Linked DNA regions of Ovis aries. Each later gene encodes a partner of the first gene's protein in a complex. Links are inferred from orthologs where the notes say so. Each region holds a gene or a part of one and is shown on either strand. Other genes may lie near its edges.

What was found. The genes of interacting proteins can lie anywhere in the genome.
Region 2: the proteins of AGT (region 1) and REN are in contact, whole or in part, in a crystal structure (PDB 6I3F), measured with the Homo sapiens proteins. The link is inferred for Ovis aries from reciprocal best matches to the Homo sapiens genes AGT and REN. Residues at the interface, in NP_001369746.2 of Homo sapiens: Asp25, Tyr28, Ile29, His30, Pro31, Phe32, His33, Leu34, Val35, Ile36, His37, Asn38, Glu39, Lys91, Leu92, Ala95, Met96, Met99, Leu100, Phe103, Arg107, Arg148, Ala151, Ile152, Gly154, Gln353, Gln354, Asn355, Asn358, Glu391; in NP_000528.1 of Homo sapiens: Tyr81, Met82, Thr84, Gln85, Val102, Asp104, Gly106, Ser107, Asn109, Ser118, Arg119, Leu120, Tyr121, Thr122, Val125, Tyr126, Leu147, Arg148, Tyr149, Ser150, Pro181, Ala182, Leu183, Pro184, Met186, Leu187, Ala188, Glu189, Phe190, Val193.
Region 3: the proteins of AGT (region 1) and ANPEP are in contact, whole or in part, in a crystal structure (PDB 4FYS), measured with the Homo sapiens proteins. The link is inferred for Ovis aries from reciprocal best matches to the Homo sapiens genes AGT and ANPEP. Residues at the interface, in NP_001369746.2 of Homo sapiens: Val27, Tyr28, Ile29, His30, Pro31, Phe32; in NP_001141.2 of Homo sapiens: Gln211, Gln213, Ala351, Gly352, Ala353, Met354, Glu355, Arg381, Val385, His388, Glu389, His392, Glu411, Glu418, Asn438, Arg442, Phe472, Tyr477, Ile864, Phe896, Ser897, Asn900, Gln903, Ala904, Arg907.
Region 4: the proteins of AGT (region 1) and DPP3 are in contact, whole or in part, in a crystal structure (PDB 5E2Q), measured with the Homo sapiens proteins. The link is inferred for Ovis aries from reciprocal best matches to the Homo sapiens genes AGT and DPP3. Residues at the interface, in NP_001369746.2 of Homo sapiens: Asp25, Arg26, Val27, Tyr28, Ile29, His30, Pro31, Phe32; in NP_005691.2 of Homo sapiens: Phe109, Glu316, Tyr318, Glu329, Phe381, Gly385, Ile386, Pro387, Ala388, Gly389, Ile390, Asn391, Ile392, Asn394, Arg399, Val412, Leu413, Val415, Ala416, Phe443, Val447, His450, His455, Glu507, Glu508, Asn545, Arg548, Leu552, Glu555, Phe556.

What each region holds. Positions count from the first base shown.
Region 1 is NC_056078.1:44,652,331-44,658,355, forward strand, and holds the start of AGT (angiotensinogen), read left to right. Parts: upstream 1-2,733; 5' UTR 2,734-2,769; intron 2,770-3,633; 5' UTR 3,634-6,025. UniProt on the Homo sapiens protein: Essential component of the renin-angiotensin system (RAS), a potent regulator of blood pressure, body fluid and electrolyte homeostasis.
Region 2 is NC_056065.1:1,789,420-1,795,343, reverse strand, and holds the start of REN (renin), read left to right. Parts: upstream 1-2,465; 5' UTR 2,466-2,590; coding exon 2,591-2,670; intron 2,671-5,924. UniProt on the Homo sapiens protein: Renin is a highly specific endopeptidase, whose only known function is to generate angiotensin I from angiotensinogen in the plasma, initiating a cascade of reactions that produce an elevation of blood pressure and increased sodium retention by the kidney.
Region 3 is NC_056071.1:20,528,413-20,534,269, reverse strand, and holds the start of ANPEP (aminopeptidase N), read left to right. Parts: upstream 1-2,398; 5' UTR 2,399-2,445; coding exon 2,446-3,065; intron 3,066-3,588; coding exon 3,589-3,731; intron 3,732-3,854; coding exon 3,855-3,994; intron 3,995-4,633; coding exon 4,634-4,760; intron 4,761-4,849; coding exon 4,850-5,004; intron 5,005-5,269; coding exon 5,270-5,383; intron 5,384-5,483; coding exon 5,484-5,627; intron 5,628-5,792; coding exon 5,793-5,857. UniProt on the Homo sapiens protein: Broad specificity aminopeptidase which plays a role in the final digestion of peptides generated from hydrolysis of proteins by gastric and pancreatic proteases.
Region 4 is NC_056074.1:40,946,236-40,952,071, forward strand, and holds the start of DPP3 (dipeptidyl peptidase 3), read left to right. Parts: upstream 1-2,377; 5' UTR 2,378-2,415; intron 2,416-3,811; 5' UTR 3,812-3,819; coding exon 3,820-4,089; intron 4,090-5,836. UniProt on the Homo sapiens protein: Cleaves and degrades bioactive peptides, including angiotensin, Leu-enkephalin and Met-enkephalin. Also cleaves Arg-Arg-beta-naphthylamide (in vitro).

The sequences.
Region 1 (6,025 bases):
GTTTCAGTCAGCGAGCTTCCCCTGAGAGGTTACTAAGATCTGTATCGTAGCCACGTTGAAAGATCTATATACCCAGCATGTAGCAACCACTGGATAAATGTTAATCCCTTCATCCTTCTATTTTAAAGTTGAAAATATGGAATAATCCTCTTCTTTCATGATCCCGTTTCAATAAAGAGCAGCTCACTGTTCAATCTACCTGCTTCTCTTCGAGGTCTTATCAAACTGTCTCAGCCTGGCCCCTCCCTCACCCTTCCCTGAGGCTGCTTTCCAACTTGCCGGTGATCTCCACTCACCTCCTCCTGGCCTTTGCTGAGCAATAAAATGTTAGTTAATGATGGATCAAAAATAGTTTGGGAGGAGACATCTCAGTAGTAATGACTCTGCCTGAAAGACCTCTTTCAGGCCCCAAGTCCTCGCCTATCACAACTGCCTCCTGGCTCCTTGAACACCACTCCCTGTGTCTGTCGCTGCCCCCTGGGTGCCCCCTGTGGTGGCCGACTCCTCCCCATTCCCTCTCTCACTAGGTTTTCCCCTCCCCTCCCCTCTCCTCTCCTCGCTCTGACTCTCCCTGGGTAAAACACCTCCTCCCACAGGCCTCGGGTTGCATGATGGTGCCTTTGCCTTCCACATCTGTGGCCCCAGCCTGGATCTCCCTCTTGAGCATCGGAACCATCTAAGCGAGCATTCAGCACCGAGTTCCACTAGGCACCTCGAGAGGATACCGTCCAAACTCAGCTTTGCACGCCCTTCGCTAGAGCTCGCGTGCCTCCTGCGTCCCTCTCAGGGTTATTGGTTTCCTCATTCCCTCAGGAGCCTGAACTGGGCGCTGTGGTGCCCGGGCCCCCTCCATCTTTCCTCACGACAGTATCGCTTTCAGAGAACATTTCTTACAGCAGAAGTCAGGCATCACGTGCCGCGCCTCGCCGAGGCGTCTTCAGTCCCTTCCGCAGCAGCGCCTCTCCCCTCCCGCGCGGTGTCTGGCACTAATCAGCGTCCTCCCTTCCCCCACTCACTTTACGCGGCCCAGACCCAGCCTGGCATCCTGTGCAGAAGCTCTATTTCCCTGGGGTCCTCTCTCACCACTGGGGAGGGCGGGGAAGCCCAGAAGCAGGAGCAGCTCCCTCTCAGCCCCGGGCCTGCTGGCGGCCCCTAGACAAGCCCCATGCTTTCCCATCTCTGTTGCTGCCTTATCAGCCTCTACCTCTGGAAAGCCCTTCTTGAGTCTGACGTGACTGAGCGACTGAAATGAAATGAATGAATGAACCTCAGAGAAACGAAGATCATTCAGAAAACGAAGATCATGGCATCCGGTCCCATCACTTCATGGGAAATAGATGGGGAAACAGTGGAAACCGTGTCAGACTTTTATTTTGGGGGCTCCAAAATCACTGCAGATGGTGACTGCAGCCATGAAATTAAAAGACGCTTACTCCTTGGAAGAAAAGTTATGACCAACCTAGATAGCATATTCAAAAGCAGAGACATTACTTTGCCGACTAAGGTCCGTCTAGTCAAGGCTATGGTTTTTCCTGTGGTCATGTATGGATGTGAGAGTTGGACTGTGAATAAGGCTGAGCACCGAAGAATTGATGCTTTTGAACTGTGGTGTTGGAGAAGACTCTTGAGAGTCCCTTGGACTGCAAGGAGGTCCAACCAGTCCATTCTGAAGGAGATCAACCCTGGGATTTCTTTGGAGGGAATGATGCTGAAGCTGAAACTCCAGTACTTTGGCCACCTCATGCGAAGAGTTGACTCATTGGAAAAGACTCTGATGCTGGGAGGGATTGGGGGCAGGAGGAGAAGGGGACGACCGAGGATGAGATGGCTGGATGGCATCACTGACTTGATGGACGTGAGTTTGAGTGAACTCCGGGAGTTGGCGATGGACATGGAGGCCTGGCGTGCTGCGATTCATGGGGTCCCGAAGAGTCGGACACGACTGAGCGACTGAACGGAAATGAACCTCAAAGAACCAACTTATTTATCCTTCAAGATGTGACTCAAATGACAGAGAGAACTTTGAAAGCTTCTCCAGCTCTAACAGACTAAACTGTCTCAGAATCTAAAAGCTCTTGTGAGCACCTTCCCGTCTCCCTGCTGTTGGTGTCTAGTGGTGTCCCCAGATGAATCACTGCTCTCTAGAATGTGCTTTGCTGGGTTGTGTGTGTCTCCATCAGAGGCCTCTCCATGGAGTGGGGACCCAGTGGCTATTTGTACAACCACTGAGCCACTCAAGGCCATGGGGTCAGGTGACCCCCAGGCTACCTGAACAGGGCTTTCTGCTTCCCGCTGGACCCATGAGCCCACATGTTCTTGGGGCCTCTCAGAATCACTCCCCAAGGGGGCTCAGTCTCAAGGCTTGGGTGGCTGACCTCAGGCCATCACACCCAGGGGCAGAGATGCATCACAACCCACATGGGATTCTCCCGTGTCCCATAACAGCAGCCCCAGGCCGAGCAAACTTCAGTAAATGTGTAACTTGACTGTGCACCAGTTCACTGTCAGCAGCAACAGTGCATCGATCCCCCTGGATTCCTGGAAGGAGGCCCATCCTGAGAGTCGCCTGGCCTGGCATTTGTCCCTCTAGTTGGGAGGCTGCTGAGGCCCCCACCCCCACGGCCTGGCCAAGTCATGTAAACACCCTCCCCCTGGCCTGAGCACAGGCTGGTCTGGGAACCGCTCCATCCCCACCCCTCAGACATAAATAGGGCCTCGGTGGCCCAGCCAGAGGAAGAAGCCACCCTGTCTTGAGGACAAGAGCGGAAGGTGAGTGGGGGCCCTCTCCATGCACACCCTCCCCAGCTCTCTTCACACAGCTGCCTTGTTTGCTGGTAGGAGAAATCTGGGCGCTCTGGTGGACAGGTATGGGGGAGAGCTGCTGGAAGCCTGTGGCTAAACTGCACCCAGGAACCAGGGGACAGCGCTGACCCGGGCTGCAGGTGGCATTACCAGACTCGGAGGGTGCCTCTCCCCGAGGCACAGGCTGTCCCTCCCCCGAGCGCCCCGAGGCACAGGCTGGCCCTCCCCTGAGCGCATCATGGGTCTCACCAGAGGAACTGCTCCTTTCAGCAGCAGGCAGGCTGGCGGGGTCCTCCGCTCCCTCTGAGCAGGGCTGGGTCCTAGGGGGCTGGCGCAGAAGGAGTCCCCTGGGTCCTCCTCCAGCCCGAGGACGAGCAAGGCTTGTGCAGGCAGTGGAGCTGGGGAGAAGGGCAGGCTCAGTGAGCCTGGGGCTGTGTCCCCACAGGGCTCAGGGGAGCAGTGGTCTACTTCCCTGCCGCTCTTCGGAGGCAGTGCCGGCTCTAGTCCTGGGCTCAAGGCCCGGGTCTGAGCAGTCAGGCTCGTCACTCTGTATCCTGAGCCTCGGTTTGCTTGTCTATAAAATGGAACCAGCAGCAATACCTGGTCTCCCTTTCTCGGGAACTATGCTATAAATTAAGAGTGCTAATACCTGATAGTGCTTTCTAAACTTGAGAATAAACTAAAAAGACACAGTCTTGTTCGAAAGCAGTATAGATCAGTGCCTAAGTGTATGGAGTATGGAGTCCTGGGCTCTGGGCTCGAACACTAGATCTGTCTCTTACCAGCTGTGTGAACTTGAGCAAGTCTCCAAACCTGTCTCTTCATCTGCAGGACAGCATCCTTTAGCCACCACTTGTATTTTTGGGAATGTGGGACACATCAGTAAGCAAAACAGAGCAAGAACCTCAGTCCTACAGGATTTGCATCCGTGTGGGAGGAGACGGCGATACACGCTGGACATAAGACACACACGAGTGACGCAGTGACCAGAGCTGCAGGGGACCAGCGCCACGGGCGGGGAGGCACTGGCGCCGCTCCAGGGCTCTTGCCTGGAGCATCCCAGGGACGGAGGAGCCTGGTGGGCTGCTGTCTATGGGGTCGCACAGAGTCGGACACGACTGAACGATTTCTTTCACTTTTCACTTTCCTGCATTGGAGAAGGAAATGGCACCCACTCCAGGGCTCTTGCCTGGAGAATCCCAGGGACGGCAGAGCCTGGTGGGCTGCCGTCTGTGGGGTCGCACAGAATCGGACACGACTGAAGTGACTTAGCAGCCGCACCACTGGGAGAGGAGAGGAGGGCAGGGGGAGTGAGTTCAGAGTGCCAGGCGTGGAGGGCCAGTCGAAGGGTGAAATCTGGTGGGGAGGCCCAGACAAGAAGGTAGGCTGCTGTGAGGGTTCAGACTTGGCCCCTGAAGTCACTGAAGCTGTGAGCAGCCTTGCACTTGTGTTTGCTACTATCCTCTTCAGCCTTGAGCACAAGCCCTGAGATGTAGGGAGCCGTGCAGGAGAGGCTGGTCAAGGGGGAGGCCAGGTGTAGGCAGGTGGAAGAGAAAACCCAAGGCACCGCTGTCAGGCTGGGAAGCTGTGCGCTGACTTGGCACCCAGGCCAGTGAGACAGACCACAACCGAGAGCAAACAACAGCCTCTGTTCTACCTGGTAAATCGCCTGAAACGGGGCCTGCGCCTGAAGGAAGCTGGGAGGCGGCTGCAATCACCTGCACGGCCCCAGCCCAGGACCCTTAGGCCTGTTCCTGAAGGATTCTCCACACTCAGGCCCCGCCAGTTTCCCCTGGAGAGGTGTCAATGGGCAACTTAGGCCTGCCTGACAGGAAGGCCTATAAAGAGAGAAGTTTCTGTCCTTTTTTTCCGTGTTGTGTAACTCCTTGTGGGAACAGTGGGTGGAGTCAAACGGCTTGGAAGGAGAGTAGGTGGGAGTTAAGGTCAGAGGTCAGAGTTCCCTTGGCATTTTGACACTTAGAGCAGAGAGGGTGCGCAGCGCATGTCAGCCCTCGCCGAGCGGCTGCCGTCGCCGCACCTGCCCAGGCACGCGTGGGTGTGCAGGAGCCAGCTAGGCTTCGAGGCGACCTGGAGTTGGTGGTGATGGACCATAGCTCCAAGGAGGCCCAGGCCAGCTCTGGGAGGGCAGGGGAGAGTGAGGGGGGAATGGGAAGGCTGGGCGGCTACCTGGTAGTACAGCACTCGCCTTCCCTCAAAATGAAGGCGGTGTCATATAGAAGCAAGCCGCTAGAGCGCAATGAACCCATAAAGGAATATTTATTCTCTCAGTGAGAGCCATCGCGGAAAAAGCCAGCAGAGCCGACCCAGGAGCCTTTTCTCCCAGGAGCTCAGCCCACGCCCATTCTCTTGGCTAGAAGTGAGGCTGAGGCAGAGGTGCTGAGCACTGTCCCACCTCACCTGCCCCAGGTGAGGCAGGGAAAGCTTCTACACTGCGGAGGCACGTCTGCGCCTCCTGGGAGAACTGGGCACAGACCGGTGAAATCTGGCTGCTGATGAATGGGCTCAGGCACAGACGACTCGGAGCCCCTCGGGGATCTACTCTGCAGGGCGGGTGCGCGCTGGGGAGGGGGTTGAGACAGGCAGGGATGTCTGGGCTTCTCCAGGTTGAGTCTATGGTGCTTAATTCCAGCTGCAGGTTAGGGCTACCGGGAGACTAAAAACCCTTTCTCAGACCCTTCCCAGGGTCACTTAATTAGCATCTCTGGAAGTGAGACTCAGATTGCAATAGTTTCTCAGGCTTTCTGGGTGAGTCCTGTGAGCACTCGGGTGGAGCATAACCTGTGAGAGTGAAGTAGGTTGGAATCGGATCTCTGTTACCTCCTTGCTGTAACATGAGCTTGGGGATGTTTCTCCGTATCCCAGAACTCCCCTTTCTGTGTCTGCAAAGAAGTGGAACAATCTTAGCTCACGTGACACGTTAGGTTGGATAATCTATGGGAAAGAGCCAAACAAATACGAGATCTCCATTCTAAATTACACAACTTGGCTGGGGAAATAAGGGAACATTTCCCACACAGCTGGATTATTTTCTTGTCAGGCTAATTTGTAACACAGGAGAAACCTCTGTGTGAGTTGGTCTTGTATTCCAAAATGGTTTACCACCTACCCTAGGGCTTGGAGCCCCACAAAGACCCTTGCTGCCTCACATTTTGTTCTTTGGGGAAAATTTATAGCCTTGAACAGGTGGGCATATTGGTGTTAT
Region 2 (5,924 bases), on another chromosome or scaffold:
AGCTGAAACCAGATTCTTTCTCCTGCCGTCACAGACCTCAGCTCTGGACGATGAGGCTGCACAAACAGCTCTGGTTCCAGCTTCTGTGGAAGAATCTTCAAGGGCTCTGTGACCCCTGAGGCCTCTCGCTCCCAGTCAAGCTTCCGCAGAGCCCTCCATGGACCTCCAGGTCTCGATTCCGGGATTCCTGCTGGTTCTGACTCCGGGCCACAGTCTCGCTGGGATGTGCAACCTGGTGTCCGGCCTCAGGATCCGGGTCCCACAAGGGTGGGTCGGGTGGGCTGAGAGGAGCTGGTGAGAAAGTGAGAGACGGCTGCCGCTCCCAGCTGGGCCGGGGCCCTGGGAGAAGGGAGAGCCGATGGCGTCCGGGCCGTGTCACCCCTCGGAAGCTGGCTCCCTGCCTCCCCTCTGGTGCCTGCGACTCTGGTCTGCACTCTGACAAATGTGTGTCTCTCCTGCAGGTCCCTCCCTCTTCTCTTCACACTGGCGCACAGGGCCAGCACTCGTGTGAGCTGCACACACTGGCAGGACACGGGGAGGTGGGCGGGAAGGGTGTTTCTGGCTGGAGAGCGCCTGGGGCCACAGAGGGCTGGCCCGGCGGGGGTGCCCCCCGGCCCTGCCTTTGCCATGGAAGAGACCGGAGTCCGGACCTAGGACACAGCCGAGGGCCCCGCTGTGCCGGGCGTCCACACTGCAGCGAGGCCGCGGCTCTGAAGAGCTCTCTGGCCTGGCAGACTCAGCCCCAGCCCGGCACCCTCTCCTTTGCATCCTGTGGGCTCGGGTAGGCACGTAGCCCCAGAGAGGAGCCGGGAGTCGCGGGCACACCGCTCGGCTTGCCCTTCCTTGAGTCCTCTGAAGGCTCAGCCTCCTGTCTGACCAGGGGGGCTGAGGGTCGCCCCTCAGAGGGCTGTGCATCTGGACACGCGCCTGACACGTAAGAAACGCTCAGTGACACTTGCTAAGGAAAGGCAGAGCACTGGAGCCTACAAATAAACATTGATTCAGTTTAATAACTATTTATTCAGTCTGATAAGACAGAAGTTCCCACAAAAAGGTTCTCCCGGCCCCTCAAATGCTTCCCCCAGTGCCAACCACAATGCTTGAAAATTCTCCAGTGAGAGTTTGTTCCAAGAAGCACCAGCTTCTCCCATCCCTCGACAAGGGTGTTGTAATTTCAGAGATCCCGACGCATTAAGTAGTCTGCACACCAGCAACAGAGTTTCGCTCCGCTGGTTAAGTTCTTTCCGCCCACAGGTGCAGAGAGGAGCACGCTGAAGACACGGGACTTGGCTACTGGAGCATCCACACAGGCGGGCACCCTGGGGTCGCCCGGCGTCTGCTTCCTCACACCGCCTGGGGACTACGGCCCAGAGAGGGGCGTCCGCATGCAGCAAGTTGGGGGTACAGTCAGAACCTGAAGCCAGGCCCCTGGCCCTGCCCATCAGGGTTCACTGGGCACTCATTTGATGAGCGGGGAGCACCACTCTGGGTGAGAGGCAGAGGCATGCACATCAAAATGATTCCGAGAGAGGACATTTGAGGCCTGTGCTTTCACAGAAGGCATGTGTCTGCACCTTGGGAGCCCCAGCAGAGACAGTCAATTCCAGGCTGAATCCACGCCTGCTTCCTGGAGGAGACAGAGATCCTGGAAGTGGGCCGCAAGGAGTGAGCAGGGAGGAGCCAGGAGAGGAGGTCCTAGGCTGCGTAAACAACATCCACCCTGGGATTCAGGGGCCAGGTGGATGTGTGGTGAGCAGCTCCAGACTGCTGGTAAGCCATAAGGGAAAGGGAAGGAGGCAGAGACATGCCCCAGAGAGTACTCAGGGAGAAGAAGAGAGAGGGAGAGGGGTGGAAAGACCAGCTGCTCCACCTCGCACTTTGGCAGAAAGCAGCCTCCCCCAGTCCCGGGGCTTCCCTTCCCTTCTACCAACACAGGTCATCTAAGACGGAACCACGTCCCCTGCCCCCAGCTCCTTACTTCCAGAGGAGGTCTGTACTGCACTTTCCCATAAACAACTACTGGTGACAGAGACCTGGGGGGAGGCCGTGTCGGCACTCCCTGGATTCTGGCTCTGTCAGGGAACGAGCTGGAGGGGTCACCCATGTTCCAGATGGTAACACTGAGACGCAGCCTGGGAGACGCCAGTCAGGGGCACAGCCGAGGTTAACACAGAGGCAAGGGGTCGGTGAGACGGGCTTGGGGGCTGGAAACTGGGGTCCTGTGCTTGTCCCAGCCCTTTCCTGGTTCCCTAGCGGTGCTGTTTCTCATCGGCTTCGGTCTTCCCTGAGGGGTCACAGGGCCAGGCCGAGACAGGGCTATTGGCGTCACTGGGTGCAGGCTTGCTTTCCCACAGCCATCCTTCTTCTAGCCCCCCAGCTCCACGTCAGAAACCTGGTCACCCTTCACCCACTTAGCTCAGTCCCGTTGAGGGATTTATTACCGGCTGCCCCGCCATCTGTCCCGCAGTAATAAATCAGGGCAGAGCAGAATCGCAGCCATCCCGAGTGTGCATGTATAAAAGGAGAGGGTGCTTCAGGGGACCCCAGAGCGAGCTGGGCACCCAGGCGAACTGTGGGCCAGTGCAGCAAGATGCCTCTCTGGGGACTCCTGCTGGCGCTCTGGGGCTGCAGCACCTTCAGTCTCCCTGCAGACACCGCCGCCTTCAGACGGTAACTGGGAGAAAGGGTGGGGGGAGGAGGGATCCTCGCTTTCCTGACACGGGTTGGGGGGTGGTTCAAACAAGGGATGTCATCCCGTCCTCGCAAGCAGCCGGGCAGGGAGAGTTTCGCCCCATTCAGAGAGGTCAGGTGACTTGCCCGATGTCACACAGCCAGCAGAAGCACTAGCTGGGCCTTTTGATCCTGGCCCAGAGTTTTCAGTTCCTGCACAGATCACCATGCTAGGTGCTTTGGGGGGACTCAGAGATGACTGAGACATGTTCTCTGCCCCTCGGGAGCTCACAGACTAATTACTAAGAAGGGTGTGGTATTGTTAACTCTGCCAGGGAAGCAGGGTAATGTAGTGGTTAAACGCAAAGCTTCCAGAGCTGAATAGTCCTGGTTTAAATTCTGTTCCACTAGCAGTGCCAACTAACTCTGGAACCGTGGGCAAGCCCCTGAACCTGGCCAGGTCCAAGTTTGCCACTTTTACCTTTCAATATTCATTTATTTGGCTACACTGCCTGCTTGGATCTTCATGGCAGCAGGCAGGATCTTTTAGTTGTGGTGTGAGAACACTTAGTTGTAGCACGTGGCATCTAGTTCCCTGACTGGGGATTGAACACAGGCCCCCAGCATTGGGAGCATGGAGTCTTGGCCACTGGACCATCAGGGAAGTTCCAGTTTACCATTTTTAAAACAGGGATAATAAAATACCTATTTTACAGAGCTGCTCTGAGGAGTGAATAAGATATTGCCTGTAAATGCCTCAGCCTGGTGCAGGCATGCTGTAAAAACCCAGCTGTTACCATCTCCAGGGGGATTATCACGAATATTAAAAGAAAAGTTTAAGGTAGCCCAAAGGAGGAGGATAAAGACCCAACATCCATATTTGGCGACAGGCCCTGAGGGAACCCTGATGGCTCAGCTGGTAAAGAATCTGCCTGCAATGCGGGAGACCTGGGTTCGATCCCTGGGTTGGGAAGATCCCCTGGAGAAGGGAAAGGCCTGGAGAATTTCATGGACTGTATAGTCCATGGGGTTGCAGAGAGTTGGACATGACTGAGTGGCTTTCAGTTTCACTTTCTTCCCTGAGGGAACAAGGCTTCTTCAAGGCTGCAGGAGCGGGGAGGCAGGTGGGAGAGGGCCTTCCAGAGAAAGGGTTTCACGCTGGGGAAGCAGATGGGACCAGAAGACCTGAAGTTAAGGGGCAGGCTTTCGTAACAGTGGTAGTTGCTAGGCCTGTAAAATGCTGAGGACTTCATAGGATTGCTTCCTGTGTCTCAGCTCAAATCATCCTCCCAACAGTCCCATTTTATAGCTGGGGACACTGAGGTTCAGGGAGGTCCGATGTAGGAGGCTCAGCCTGGGCACACGCTGCACCACGTTTCCGAAGCCTCTTTCCTCTGCTCCAGGGAGAGTAGCTGCTGGGCTGGGGGCGTGGTGAGGGGGAGAGGCACTTCCCAGTGGCAGTATGTGTCTGAGCGTGGCCCCCACCCCCAGGATAAAGGGAGGGAAAGGAAAAAAACATTCTCCCTTGTCTCTTCAGAACGAGAAGAATGAAATTAGACCAGGGTGAAGAGGGAGTCAGGCTTTCCAAATGTACTTAGAGGAGTTTTGCTAACTGACATGAGCCTCAACATCCCCATGCAAGGCTTTGCGGCGCTCTGAAGGGCCGATTCCAGTCTCAAGGTGCAGTCATTGCCTTTTACACACAGACACCTTTTACAACATGTACTGAGCACCGGGCAACTCAATCTGCAAAGTGCGTACTCTCGGTGGTAGGTACTACCATTAAGTCCATTGTTACAGAGACCCAGAGGAGGTCAGGTAAGTTGCTCAGAGTCAGGCAGGTAGGAGGGGATTCGAGCACATCACCACGACCACTACACCCTCATCACAGAAGGCACGAGGCTGTGCAGCGCTGGTTACGGACACCCGGGGAAAACGGGGCAGGTGCCCAGGCAAAGGGGAGGCCAGCGTGGGGGCATGGGGGCTTCCAGGAGGCGGGGTGCACCCTGGCCTTAGAGGGCTGGAAAATGCTGGAAAGTGCTGGCGTGGGGGGGAGGGGGAGGGAAAGGGGAGAAGGAAGGGATTCTCTAAAAGGAGAGGGTAAAAGGAGCCCTCTCTGGGGTCTAGCCTTCTCTGTCCCTCCATTTTCCCATCTGTAAAATGAAAATAGTAAAGATACTCACCTCAGGTGATGGCTACGAATCAAATAGATCATAGTCGTGAAAATACTTTGTGGAACAATAGACCATGTTATGAATATGGCAAGTCATTTCTGTTAAAATATTAACACCAACAAGCATGAAAGTTGCATTCACGTTTGTGGGCAAAATGCATGGGGCCTGAGAAGGAAAGGCTAGTGCAAGTACAGAAGAAGGAATAGGGACCCTCCAGACTTTGGGCTGCAAGCCCGGGACCCCCAACAACGGCTCAGGCTGTGGCACACAGCCTTCACGTCGGAGTCCGGGGACCCCTCTGTGGGAGATGGGCCAGTCAGGGCACCTCGAATCCCTGCTGCACCTACTCCTGAGTCGCCTCATCCCTCACCCCGGAGTGAGGACAGCCAGCCTGCAGGATGGGAACGAGGTCACGTGGTGAGGGTGGCCTGCACCGCGCTGGGCGCCCGCACGGTGGCAGCTCAGGGCGACGTGAGTTTCCCAGTTCTCTTTAACTCCGCCTCCCGAAGGTGACAGGAGAGCACTGGGACAAGAAGCGGAGGGCCTGGGACCTGGGCTCAGGAAGACGCTTCTTCCCGAGGGCAGGCTGCACAGGCCCTGTGGAGACGCCTGCATTCCCCGACCCCGCCCAGTCCAGGCCCAGGGCCCTGGCCGGGTGCTGCCTGCTGCTTCCTGGAGCCCCCGCCCCGGCCGTGCGGGCATGTGCTGCCACCTGCAGGCCCCGCGTGGCACTGCCTCACCCATCCAGCCGTGAGCCGGCATGCCCAACCTTCACCTCCTTAGGGGGACGTCAGTGCTGTTTCCTCCTCCGTCTTCCCATCCGCTGGAGCCCCTCGAAGGCGGTGATGGTCTTTTTATCTCTAGCATCCAGCAAGGTGCAGGCACAGAGTAGGTGTCCAACCTGTGCTTGTGGAGTGAATGAATGAACAAATGACCTTAAAATGGTGAGCAAAATCAAGCAACAGGAGCGAGTTAGCTGAGGATCATTTAATACCAGCACAGGTAACCACGGAGTCTCCTTCAGAGACTTAACAGCTCAAGAGTGATCCCTAGGTGCCTGGGCTAAGGTTGGGGTAGTTT
Region 3 (5,857 bases), on another chromosome or scaffold:
ATTTATTGAGGACATCCAGTGGTGAAGAATCTACCTGCAATGCAGGGTACGTGGGTTTGATCCCTGGTCTGGGAAGATCCCACATGCTGTGGAGCAACTAAGCCCGTGTGCCATGACTACTTAGCCCACACTCTAGAGCCTGTGCTCCACAATGAGAGAGGCCAACTAGAGAGCAGTCCCCTCTCCCTGCAGCTAGAGAAAGCCTGCCTGCAACAATGCAGACCCAGGGGAGCCAAAAATAAATAAATAAAAAATTAAAACTATACATAAAAAAACCCAAATATGTGTTGAGTGACTACTACGTGCCTGATGCCATCAGTGAGCAGGGGCAGCCATGGACTGCTCTCACGGGGGTCTGCTGGTGGTGGATGTGGGGGAAGCACTCAGGTCAGCACCACACAGGTCAAATGGAAAACTATTCCCAATTATAGGGCTTTGAAGAGAGGTTTGTGGTTCTCAGGACCTTGACCTGGCCAGGGAGGCCAGGGTATCTTCTCTGAGAAAGACTTGAAGAATAAATAGGGAGTAACCAGGGCAGGAGTGGGGGGAAGATGATCCAAGCAGAGAGAATTGCACGTGCAAAGGTCCTGTGGTAGATGGCCTGGATGAAGGCCAGATTGGCTAGGGTTCCACAGCAGAGGAGAGTGTGGTGACAATGAGGTCAGGCAGTCAGCCAGCTGACAGCACTTGACTTGTGGGTATCATTAGAAGATTTGGTCTGAATTCTGAGAGCAAAAGGACACTTTTAAGCAGTGGTGCAAAATGATTCAATTTATGTAGCAAACTGGTTTGGTGGTGTTGTTCAGTCAATAAGTCGTGTCTGACTCTTTGCAACCCCATGGACTGCAGCACATGAGGCTTCCCTGTACTTCGCCATCTCCTGGAGCCTGCTCAAACTCATGTCCATTGAGTCAGTGATGCCATCCAACCATCTCCAGCTCTGTCATTCCCTTCTCCTCCTGTCTTCAGTCTTTCCTGGCATCAGGGTCTTTTTTCAATGAGTTGGCTCTTTGCATCAGGTGGCCAAAGTAGTGGAGCTTCAGCTTCAGCATCAGTCCTTCCAATGAATATTCAGGGTTTGAGGAGCCCAGATGTTAGCAAGGAGTCCCTGAGGGTCTAAAGTGCCCACATAAACAGTAAGAATGGCTTTGACTCAGGACACGATGAGACTGGGGGGCAGGGTGAGTTGAATGTTGGGGTGGGGATCAGGCAGTGTTGAAGTCTGAGAAACTGGGCTGGTGGATGGGGGGCGGTGACAATGAACGTCATATTCCTGTAAGAACATATTATATTGAGTATGATAAGTAATATCTTCGTTTTTCCCAGGGGTAGAATGGCTGACTTCTGGGGAAAAAGGACAAAGGACTTTCAGGTTCTACTATAATTTGTGTGCTCGGTCACTCAGTTATGTCCACCTCTTTGCGACTCCTCAGACTGTAGCCCACCAGGCTCCTCTGTCCATGGGATTTCCCAGGCAGGAATACTGGAGTGGGTTGCCATTTCCTCCTCCAAGGGGTCTTCCTGACCCAGGGTTTGAACTCATGTCTCTTGCATCTCCTGCATTGGCAGGAGGATTCTTTACCACTAAGCCACCTGGGGAGCCCTCTACTATAGTAGATGATGTTTAATATGTTTTCTCACTAAATCTGTTCAACAAACCTGAGAAATAAATTCTAACATGTGTGTATGAAGAAAGGGGTCTCGGAAAGGTAAAATAACCTGCCCAAGGTCATGGCTGGGAAGAGGTTAAGCCTCCACCAGCCTCCTCTCTTTAAAACAAAAAAAGGCAAAACAACTTCATTTCATTCTACTCAGTATGCTGATAATTGAGGGGAAAGTTTTTGGCAAGAAGGGAAAGGGAGGGGACCTGGAAGAACTCCTTGCTCTGGAAGAATGCAAGGGAGGCTGGGGCCATGGCTCTGGGGCACCCCAGGTCCTGTCCAACCACAGAGGTGACCGACTTACTCTTGACCCGAGCCGGAAGCCGACTCTCCCTTTCCCTCTACCTCCCACCTCCTGCCCGGGGAAGTCCTAACCTCCCAGATCTAACCTCCATCCTCCTGTTTCTGTGCCCGCTGTCTCAGCTCGCAGGCGCATCCAAGCCACCTGGCTGCTACCTCTCCCTGCTGGCTGCCTGCCTGCCCTTCAGCCCTTGGTGGGGCTCCCAGGCGGCCTGTAACTGGATACCAGACACCGATTCGTCCCTTCAGGCACCCCCCCGAGCTGCCCTCCATGCACCCTGTTTCTGGATCTGCTCTTGGAAACCTGGATAGTGCGTGTTTCCACTCAGCCCAGTGACCTTCGCCTGTCTGAGCCCTGGTTAATTTTTGCCCAAGTCTTTGCAGGCTCTGGGGCTCCTCCCCTTCGGGGATATAAGCCTGGCCTGAGGCTGCCCTGTTCCCTGCCTGTTCCTGAGCCTCCCCGAGCTCCCTCCCCGTCCTCACCATGGCCAAAGGATTCTACATTTCCAAGGCCCTGGGCATCCTGGCCATTCTCCTGGGTGTGGCGGCCGTGGCCACCATTATCGCTCTGTCTGTGGTGTATGCCCAGGAGAAGAACAAGAATGCCGAGTGTGGCACGAGCCCCACGAGCCCCACGAGCCCCACGGGCCCCACAAGCCCGACAACCACCTCGGCCACCACCGTGGACCAGAGCAAGCCGTGGAACCGATACCGCCTCCCCACAACCCTCTTGCCCGACTCCTATAGGGTGACGCTGAGGCCCTACCTCACTCCCGACGAGAACGGCCTGTATATCTTCACGGGCTCAAGCACCGTCCGCTTCGCCTGCAAGGAGTCCACAGACGTCATCATTATCCACAGCAAGAAGCTCAACTACACCACCACCAACGGGCACTTGGTGGTCCTGAGGGGTGTGGGGGGTGCCCAGGCCCCCGAAATCGACAGGACCGAGCTGGTGCTGCTCACAGAGTATCTGGTGGTGCACCTCAAGAGCCCGCTGGAGGCGGGCAAGATGTACGAGATGGAGACCACCTTTCAGGGGGAGCTGGCCGACGACCTGGCGGGCTTCTACCGCAGCGAGTACATGGACGGCGACGTCAAAAAGTGAGTCAGAGGTGGGCCTGCCGGGTGGGGGCGGATCCTAGACACCGGGGCAGAGCGGGATCCTGGGGGCCAAGGAAGGGCTTGGATTCGGAGCCTTTGAATGTTCCAAAGCCCTTCGCTGGCCCATCGGTCCATCCAAAGTTCCCAAGACAATCAGCCGTTTTCCCCCCACCCCACTCAATCGGGAGTCAGGGATGAACAATGAAAGCCACCTTGGACAGATAAGAGAACAGGCTCTGAGGAGAGAAATGTGCCAGCGTCTCCCGGCTAATACAGGGGGCAGCCAGGACTTTGACCCTGAGTCCAGAAGGAGCTCTGATCACCCATGTCAGCTGGCCTGTCAGCCTCGAGGTGGCCTGGGAGAGGAAAGGGGGGGTGGGGGGTAAGGGGACAGGGATGAGACCAGGCAGCATCTGTGAGCCTGCCCCCCTGCACACCCAGCCACAGCCTGCAGCCCCTACCCTGCACACCCACGGGCACAGACACTCTGTGGGCGCATCCTCTAACCCCCTGCTCTGGGCAGGGTGCTGGCCACCACGCAGATGCAGTCGACAGATGCCCGGAAGTCCTTCCCCTGCTTTGACGAGCCCGCCATGAAGGCCACATTTAACATCACCCTCATCCACCCCAAGGAACTCACAGCCCTGTCCAACATGCCACCCAAAGGTGAGCAGGTCTGGCTGGGGCCTCATGGCCTGGGCCTGGGAAAGCCGACCCTCCCCCCAAGGGCTGGGGTGCAGGGGCAGGGGGTGGGGCACACCTTCACAGGCCTGCATGCTCCCTGCCCAGGTCCCAGTGTCCCACTTGAGGGAGAGCCCAACTGGAACGTCACTGAGTTTGAAACCACGCCTGTAATGTCCACGTACCTCCTGGCCTACATCGTGAGCGAGTTCACAAGTGTGGAGTCACAGGCGCCCAATGGTGTCCAGGTATGAGGCCCAAGCTCACCTCACCTTCCCCAGGGTTGGTCTTGGCCTGGGAGACGTTCCTGTTTATCCTCATCCTGGTCCCAGCCCCTAGGCAGTGTGTGAACCCCAGCTCTGAGGCATCTTGGGCAGGTGTCTTTAGTTCTCTGAGCCTCAGTCTCTGCATCTGGAAAGTGGGACCCTCCTCATTAGCAGGGGCTTCCGCAGTAGCTCAGTGGTAAAGAATTCGCCTGCAGTGCAGGAGCCGTGGGAGGTACAGGTTCAATCCCTAGGTAGGCAAGATCCCCTGGAGAAGGAAATGGCAACCCACTCCAATATTCTTGCCTGGAGAATCCCCATGGACAGAGGAGCCTGGCAGGCTACAGTCCGTGGGGTTGCGGAGAGTCAGACACAACAGAAGCGAATTAGTATGCACCCCTAATAAAGGGAGTTCCCGATTCCTGGGTGCCGGAGAGTCGCCATGGCTCATTCCCCGTAGGCCCCTCCCTACGGCTCTAAGAGAGACACCCCCCACTCCACACACTCCCTGCTGACCAACTTCCGGGTTTAACCTGGTTGGTCACCAGCCTGCCAGACTCTGGGACTTGGTCCACTTGCACCGGACCCAGGAAGAGCCCCTGACCTCTCCTATCCTCTTTGCAGATCCGGATCTGGGCTCGGCCAAAAGCAACTACAGACAGGCATGGCCTTTACGCCCTGAATGTGACAGGTCCCATCCTGAACTTCTTTGCCAATCATTACAATACAGCCTACCCACTCCCCAAATCTGGTGAGTGAGGGGCCTTGCGTTGGGGGAAAGTGAATGGGTCTCCCCCTTCATTCCCGGAAGCCATCCTGCCAACCACCTGGCCTCCCCAGACCAGATTGCCCTGCCCGACTTCAACGCCGGGGCCATGGAGAACTGGGGGCTGGTGACCTACCGGGAGAACGCGCTGCTCTATGACCCTCAGTCTTCCTCCAGCAGCAACAAAGAGCGAGTAGTCACTGTGATTGCTCATGAGCTGGCCCACCAGGTATCCCCCCATCATGGGGAGCCCAGACGAAGAACATGGGGGGCTCCAGGGGGAGATGGCCCAAGTCATGGCTATGTCCTCAGAAGCTGAGAAGGGAGTGGGGATTCCACCTGGCCAGGGGGCTCGGGGAGGAGTCAGGATGAAGTCAGTAAAGCCTCCAGCTCAAGACTGGCGGGTGGGGAGCATTTGGCGAAGGGTAGCCCTGAATGTCGTTAGTGACCGCGAGGTCTGAGTGATTTGCTGGGCTGACCCCTCTCCCCTACAGTGGTTTGGAAACCTGGTGACCCTGGCCTGGTGGAATGACCTGTGGCTGAATGAGGGCTTTGCCTCCTACGTGGAGTACCTGGGAGCTGACTATGCGGAGCCCACCTGGAATCTGGTGAGCCCCCTGCCTGGGGACCTCTGGGGTCTGGGATGGGCGATGACCTGGGTCACCCCTTCCGAGGCCAGTCCCCTGATTGGCTGTTGGGGGTTTGCAGAAAGACCTCATTGTGCCGAATGATGTGTACCGTGTAATGGCTGTGGACGCACTGGTCACCTCTCACCCACTGACCACCCCTGCTGACGAGGTCAACACCCCTGCCCAGATCAGCGAGATGTTCGATACCATCTCCTACAGCAAGGTGCTGCCCAGCCCCCATGCTGGTCCTCAGACAGTCGAGGGGTGGGTGGGGAGGGTGGCAGGGGTTCAGCCCCCCAGGGTTCCGGGAGCACCCGCCCAGCCTGATGGGGACACAGGGTCCCCCGGCTGGCTCGACACAGCCTCTTGAGCTCCCTCCTCTCCACAGGGAGCCTCGGTCATCCGGATGCTCTCGAATTTCCTGACTGAGGACCTGTTCAAGAAGGGCCTGGC
Region 4 (5,836 bases), on another chromosome or scaffold:
CAGCTGGCTGAAGCCACAGATATCAGACCTGGGGCTGTTGAGAGGACAGAGGGCATTTGCTGGTGGTGAGATGAGGATGAGATCAGATTCTTGCTTCACATCGCCACAGCGGGGGAGCCCCAGTAAGGATACTGGGGTGAACATTGGAGCATGGCAACTCCTACACACACACACACACACACACACACACACTGGGGTGAATATGGGAGCATTCCAACTCCTAAACACACACACACACACACAGCAGTAGGAATCCAACTCTTCCCAGCTCTCTGTTCTCACTCTGTTGGGAACCAGACAGGGGAACACTTACATGCCATTTCTATCAGGGAATCTCAGACTCTAGAAGGAGAGACAAGCAAAAGGCACAGGTGCCATAAGAGGGAGAAATCAGAGTGTTGGTGGAGGGGGTCAGACGGCTCTGCCCCTTTCTAACTCTTGGAGCCTCAGTCTCTTTAACTGTTAAATGGAATAACTGTACTTCCATTACCAGGTGGTTGTGAATGTATGAAGGGCACCAAGCATAGGATGTGCTTAATACTACTTCTTCACCTACCCCTTCTTTATCTCCATGGGAAAGAGCCAAGGCTAGGGGTGGCTATGACTTCAGTGAGTGGACTGTTGCATGTAATTCTGTGTGTGTGTGTGTGTGTGTGTGTGTGTGTGTGTGCATGTGAGCACACGCATATGTTGGAGCAGGTGGAGGGGACAATGTGGTGGAGGGCTGGACCCTGGTTCAGGGACACCAGAGGACTTCCTGGGTGGCCTTAGGGAAGTCAGTGAATCCATCAGCCTCCGTTTCCCCATATGTACTCTAGATTAAATTATATCCTAACTCAGGTTTTTTGTAGGAATTAAATGAGATCCTCCATGTCAAGCTGTTAGCATAGAACTTCAGGAAGTGCTCTTATTAGCTGTCCTGATGAAAATGCAGCTTGGCTGGGGGTTTCCCAGGAGTACTGGGATCTTTCCTTGGACTGAGCTGCCCACTGGTGGCGATGGACGGCACTTCCTCCTCTATCCGTGTACATGTCAACCTCTCCCGAGTGTCAGGGAAGACTTTACACCTGTTTTAAAGACAATAAAAATTGGGGCACAGGGAAGAAGAAGGGGGATTTTCTAGGGACATAGACTAATTTATTGAGTTCCTCTCTCTCATGATAATCACCATCAGTGCCAACAGCACTGTTGTGCCAAACAGGGCCTTGGGCATCTTCTGTGAATGAGAAACTGGTGTGGGTAGTGGACAACCGCTGCTCTGGGCCTAGACACAGGTGTGGCAAAAACTGACAAGGAGGGTGTGTGGATTTCAGGGTAGACCCTCTCCTCCACACTTCTCTGCACAGCACTAGGGGGCGTCAACACTGTCAACACTTCCCTCAAGTTAACAACTTCCCTCCAGTAAAGACCGGGATTTTTAGCCGGGTTTTCTGACTGAGGAAGTCAAGACTCACAGAGGTAAAGAGACTCATCGAAGGACACACAGCTACCAGGCAGTGGAGGCCCGCCTCAACCTTAGATGGCCTGGCTCTGCTCCATTTCTGATTTGGGACCCTGAAAATGTTCCCCACTTGGCCCAGGACAAGTGCTAGGCGCTTCCACGTGCCATTCCCCGACCCATCCCATCCTCTGGTGAGTTTCTCCAGACATGCAGGCTCGGCTCTGCCCTGGGCAGCCTTTTGGGGTTGCGGTCGGCTTTCTCATCCATCCGGCACCTGGCAAGAACCCCGAAACTGCCAGGCCCCTCGCCCCTTGTTCAGAAGAAACTGAGACGCGAAGATAAAAATTTAACTGCTGCCCTAGCCAGGCCCATGGCGAATCCGAGAGGGTACAGGCAGCCCTTGCGTTTCTCCACACCCCCCGCCTGCCCCGCCCCGACCCGCACGGTGGGACCATCTCAGCCCCGGCTGGAGCCCGCTCGACTGTGGCCTCCACTCCCTAAACGGAGGGCTTTGCAGGCTCGTCACTATCCATGGTCCTGGGTTCCTATACCCAAAACTGAAGTCGGGGGACTCAGAAAAACTCCAAAGGAGAGCGGGGGTCAGGACTGTGTTGGGGTTGTCGCCGGTGCTCCGTTCGTAACAGCCACGCTGCCCCGCCTGGTTTGGGGTACCTTCTGTGCGCCGTCTGTTCGGACTAGGCCTGGGCCAGGCTGAACATGGAGGTTTCTGACCCCCACGCGTGTACCGCCTGCGGACAAAAGGCCAAGGCCGCAGGGGCCATTCCGCTCGCCACCCTGTAGCGCCTGGGGGCGGGGAGCCGGTTTGCCGGCTCAGAGCTCCTATTGGCTTGAGGCGATGCCCGTCTGGGCCCCGAAGCTCGGCAATTGGCTGGTGGAGGCGGAGTTGGCGGAGCCCCAATGAATGGGGGAGCCGGAAGCAGGAAGTGAGTGTGCGATCGGAGCAGCTGCTGCAGGTGAGGCGCGGCGACCGGGTTTTGGGGTCACCATGTGTCATCCTCGGGTGACAGGGAGCGTCTGGGCCGAGCTCAAGATCACTCCTTTTCTGCCCCCTCTTCCAAATTCATCGCGGCCCCGAAGCCAAGGATCGCTCCGGACAGCAAAGGGTTAACGTCCCTTTCGGAACCCAGGGGCTTGTGCCATTTGGGAGCAGCTTTGGGAGTGGCGGGGGTGGTAGGAAACTCTTTCAGAGTAAGAGAGGGCGTTGTGAATACTCCGGGTTGGGAGACACCCAGGTCCTAACCAGGCAGCAAGACTGTCGATAAGCTGCTTGGCGTCTTTAAGCCTCAGTCTCCCTATCTGTAAAATGAGTTTTCTCTCGGCTCTGAGCTTCTGCAGCTAGGGAGGGTCCCCTGGCTGAGCACAGGGAGAGGCCAGGGGGATAAGAGTGGGACAGATCCTGCCAGCAGTGAGAACTGAAGAGTACAGGGAAAATCTTGTACTGCTGTGGGTACCTTCTGTCAATCATGCTGACCTTGTGACCTCATCTAATTTGCATAGCCACCCAGTGAGGTTGGGGTTATTATCAGAGGCTGTCTTCTAGAGGTAGAAAAGTAAAACTGACTTGATATTTGGAGTCTGGGGCTGAGCCAGTCTTGGAACCTGGGTCTTCCAGCTGGGACTCTGTCCTTGTGAACACAGTGGTGGGCAGAATCGAAGAACATGCAGGATAATTCTTAAGGGGAGGCTAGGAGATCAGAGAGGGAAGAGGGGTGACCACGGAGAGGGGCCTGGGAGCCCAGAGATGCAGAAGCTTGCTTTTGACCCCTCCCTTCTGTTATTAGGCAAAGCACCCCACCTCCCTGGCCCTGGTTTCTCCATCTGTAATACTGCTGCTGCTGCTAAGTCGCTTCAGTCGTGTCCGACTCTGTGCGACCCCAGAGACAGCAGCCCACTGGGCTCCCCCATTGCTGGGATTCTCCAGGCAAGAACACTGGAGTGGGTTGCCATGTCCTTCTCTAATGCATGAAAGTGAAAAGTGAAAGTGAAGTCACTCAGTCGTGTCCGACTCATAGTGACCCTATGGACTGCAGCCCACCAGGCTCCGCTGTCCATGGGATTTTCCAGGCAAGAGTACTGGAGTGGGGTGCCATTGCCCTTTCCAATCTGTAATACTAGGTAGTTGGATTCAGTTTTTAAGTTTGGGAGGCCACAGGCCGAATATTGCCTGCCAGAATATTGTGTAATCTTCTGGGGTGAGTCACCTAACCATCTCTGAGTCTCACTTGGCATATCTGGTGCATGGATGCAATGGTATTCCCTTCCTCATTCAGACCGTGAGTGTGTAGACTCAGATGTACATGCCATTGGTGTGGGATAAATGATGCTTGTGATCACGGTGATGGTTCTCAGCAGGGCCCATGGCGGACACCCAGTACATTCTCCCCAATGACATCGGCGTGTCAAGCCTGGACTGCCGCGAGGCCTTCCGCCTGCTCTCGTCCACAGAGCGTCTCTATGCCCACTACCTGTCACGGGCTGCTTGGTACGGAGGCTTGGCAGTGCTGCTGCAGACCTCCCCTGAGGCCCCCTACATCTATGCCCTGCTCAGCCGCCTCTTCCGTGCCCAGGATCCCGACCAGCTGCGCCAGCATGCCCTGGCAGAAGGCCTTACTGAAGAGGAATATCAGGTTAGTTCTCTCAGGCCAACCTGCATTCTGGGTGTGAGGGGCCAGGAAGCAGGGGTCCAATGGACTCTCTGTCTCTCTCTGGATTAGATCAAAGGTTTTAAACACAGGGACATCCCCTCCTGGAGTCTCAGTCTTCTCATCTACAAAATATGCCTGAGGGTCATCTGTACCTCTTAGGGTGGTGGCCCCCTGATGAGATAACTGATGGCTGTTATGATGATCACAAGAGCTGTGGAGTAGAGGAAACAGCTGTGGAGGTTCGGAGACGGTAGAGGAATGAGTTCAGTGTAGGAATTTGGAGGTCTGAGTTCTGGGCCAGATCTTCCTCCACCATGTTGCATGTCCCTGGGCAGAATGTTCTGCCTGTCCTTTTGTTTTTATCTGGTCTGTGGGTCTATTGGCCAAGGAATACATGAATGCATTCTTAATGCTTTACAGCATTGCAGAAAGGCACAAAATAAAACACAAAGATCATTTTTTCTCAATGCCTAGCCAAAGGTAACCACCAAAGATGGTGGGGTGTATAGCCTTTTCAGTCCTCTGTCTATACTGGATACCTGTACAAGTAGAGATGCACATGTGTTACTTGCTTCTTTTCTCTTTCACGTATGAGATCACATGCTATAGATTCTTATGAGTTCTGCTTTTTTTCACTGAACACTATATCTTGGAGAACTTCCATGGGGTACATAGAAATCCACCTCGTTCTCTTTTATTGACTGTGAAGCATTCCATAGCTTTGTACGCTGTTATCAGTTTAATCCTTTGTATATTGATGGACATTTAGGTTGTTTGTGATTCTTACAAACAAGACAAATAAGCATCCTTAAGCATGTGTGTGACTAGGATCTATTTTTAGAAGCAGAATTGCTGGGTCAAAGGCTCTGTACATTGACAGTTGACTAGTGTTGTTAAATCATTTTCTGAAAAAGCTTCTCCAAGAATGTATGAGGATATAGTTTTTCTATATGTAAAATAAAGGGATTAGATTGCTTATCTTTGTGCTGAGGCCCAGGCTATTTCTTCTACTTTTTGTTTGAACTTTGAGTAATCACATCCCATCTCTAGGCCTTGATTTCCTCATTAAAAGAGAGAATAGCCGGGAGAGTTAATGGAAAAGTGCTACCAAAGTATTCACTATTTGCAGTGGGATTGTTTTGTTTGGAAGTAGCAGAAACCCACCTCAAATTGGCTTAAATGAGAGGGAAAAAAAAATCATGACTCCCAGTTTCTGGTCTGGCATGTTGGGAGCTTAGATGTTGTCCATCTCTTCTAACAAGTAAAAAGCTGAATAAATTGAAAAACCAACAACTCTTCTTAGATCCTTAAGAGAAGTGAGGTTCCAGAGCAAACTGCAGCTCTCAAAATTGGAGAAACAGACAGGCAGGTACAGAGAGTCACAACTTACCAGAGCAAAAACTCATGAACAGAAACCTCCATGGAACCAGTGCTGAGGTAGGAAAATTGGAACTGTAACTGATGAATTGCTAAAGGCTCAGTGTGGACAATTCTGACAGTTGAAAACTCCAGGGGGAACTGGACATAAGGGGGCCCCCACAGTTTGGGGGGTTTTACCTTCAGGAGCTTCACCTGGTTCTCACAGTGAATTTCAGAGAAAAAAAATCCCTCTTGCTTCTGGCAGGGGGAGGTGAGAAGGAGCCATTTAAAAAATATGCTAGAGCATTCTGTTCTTAACATGATCTTCCCTCAGGAGAAACTATTTAACCAGAAGCAAACCTGTTAGGGT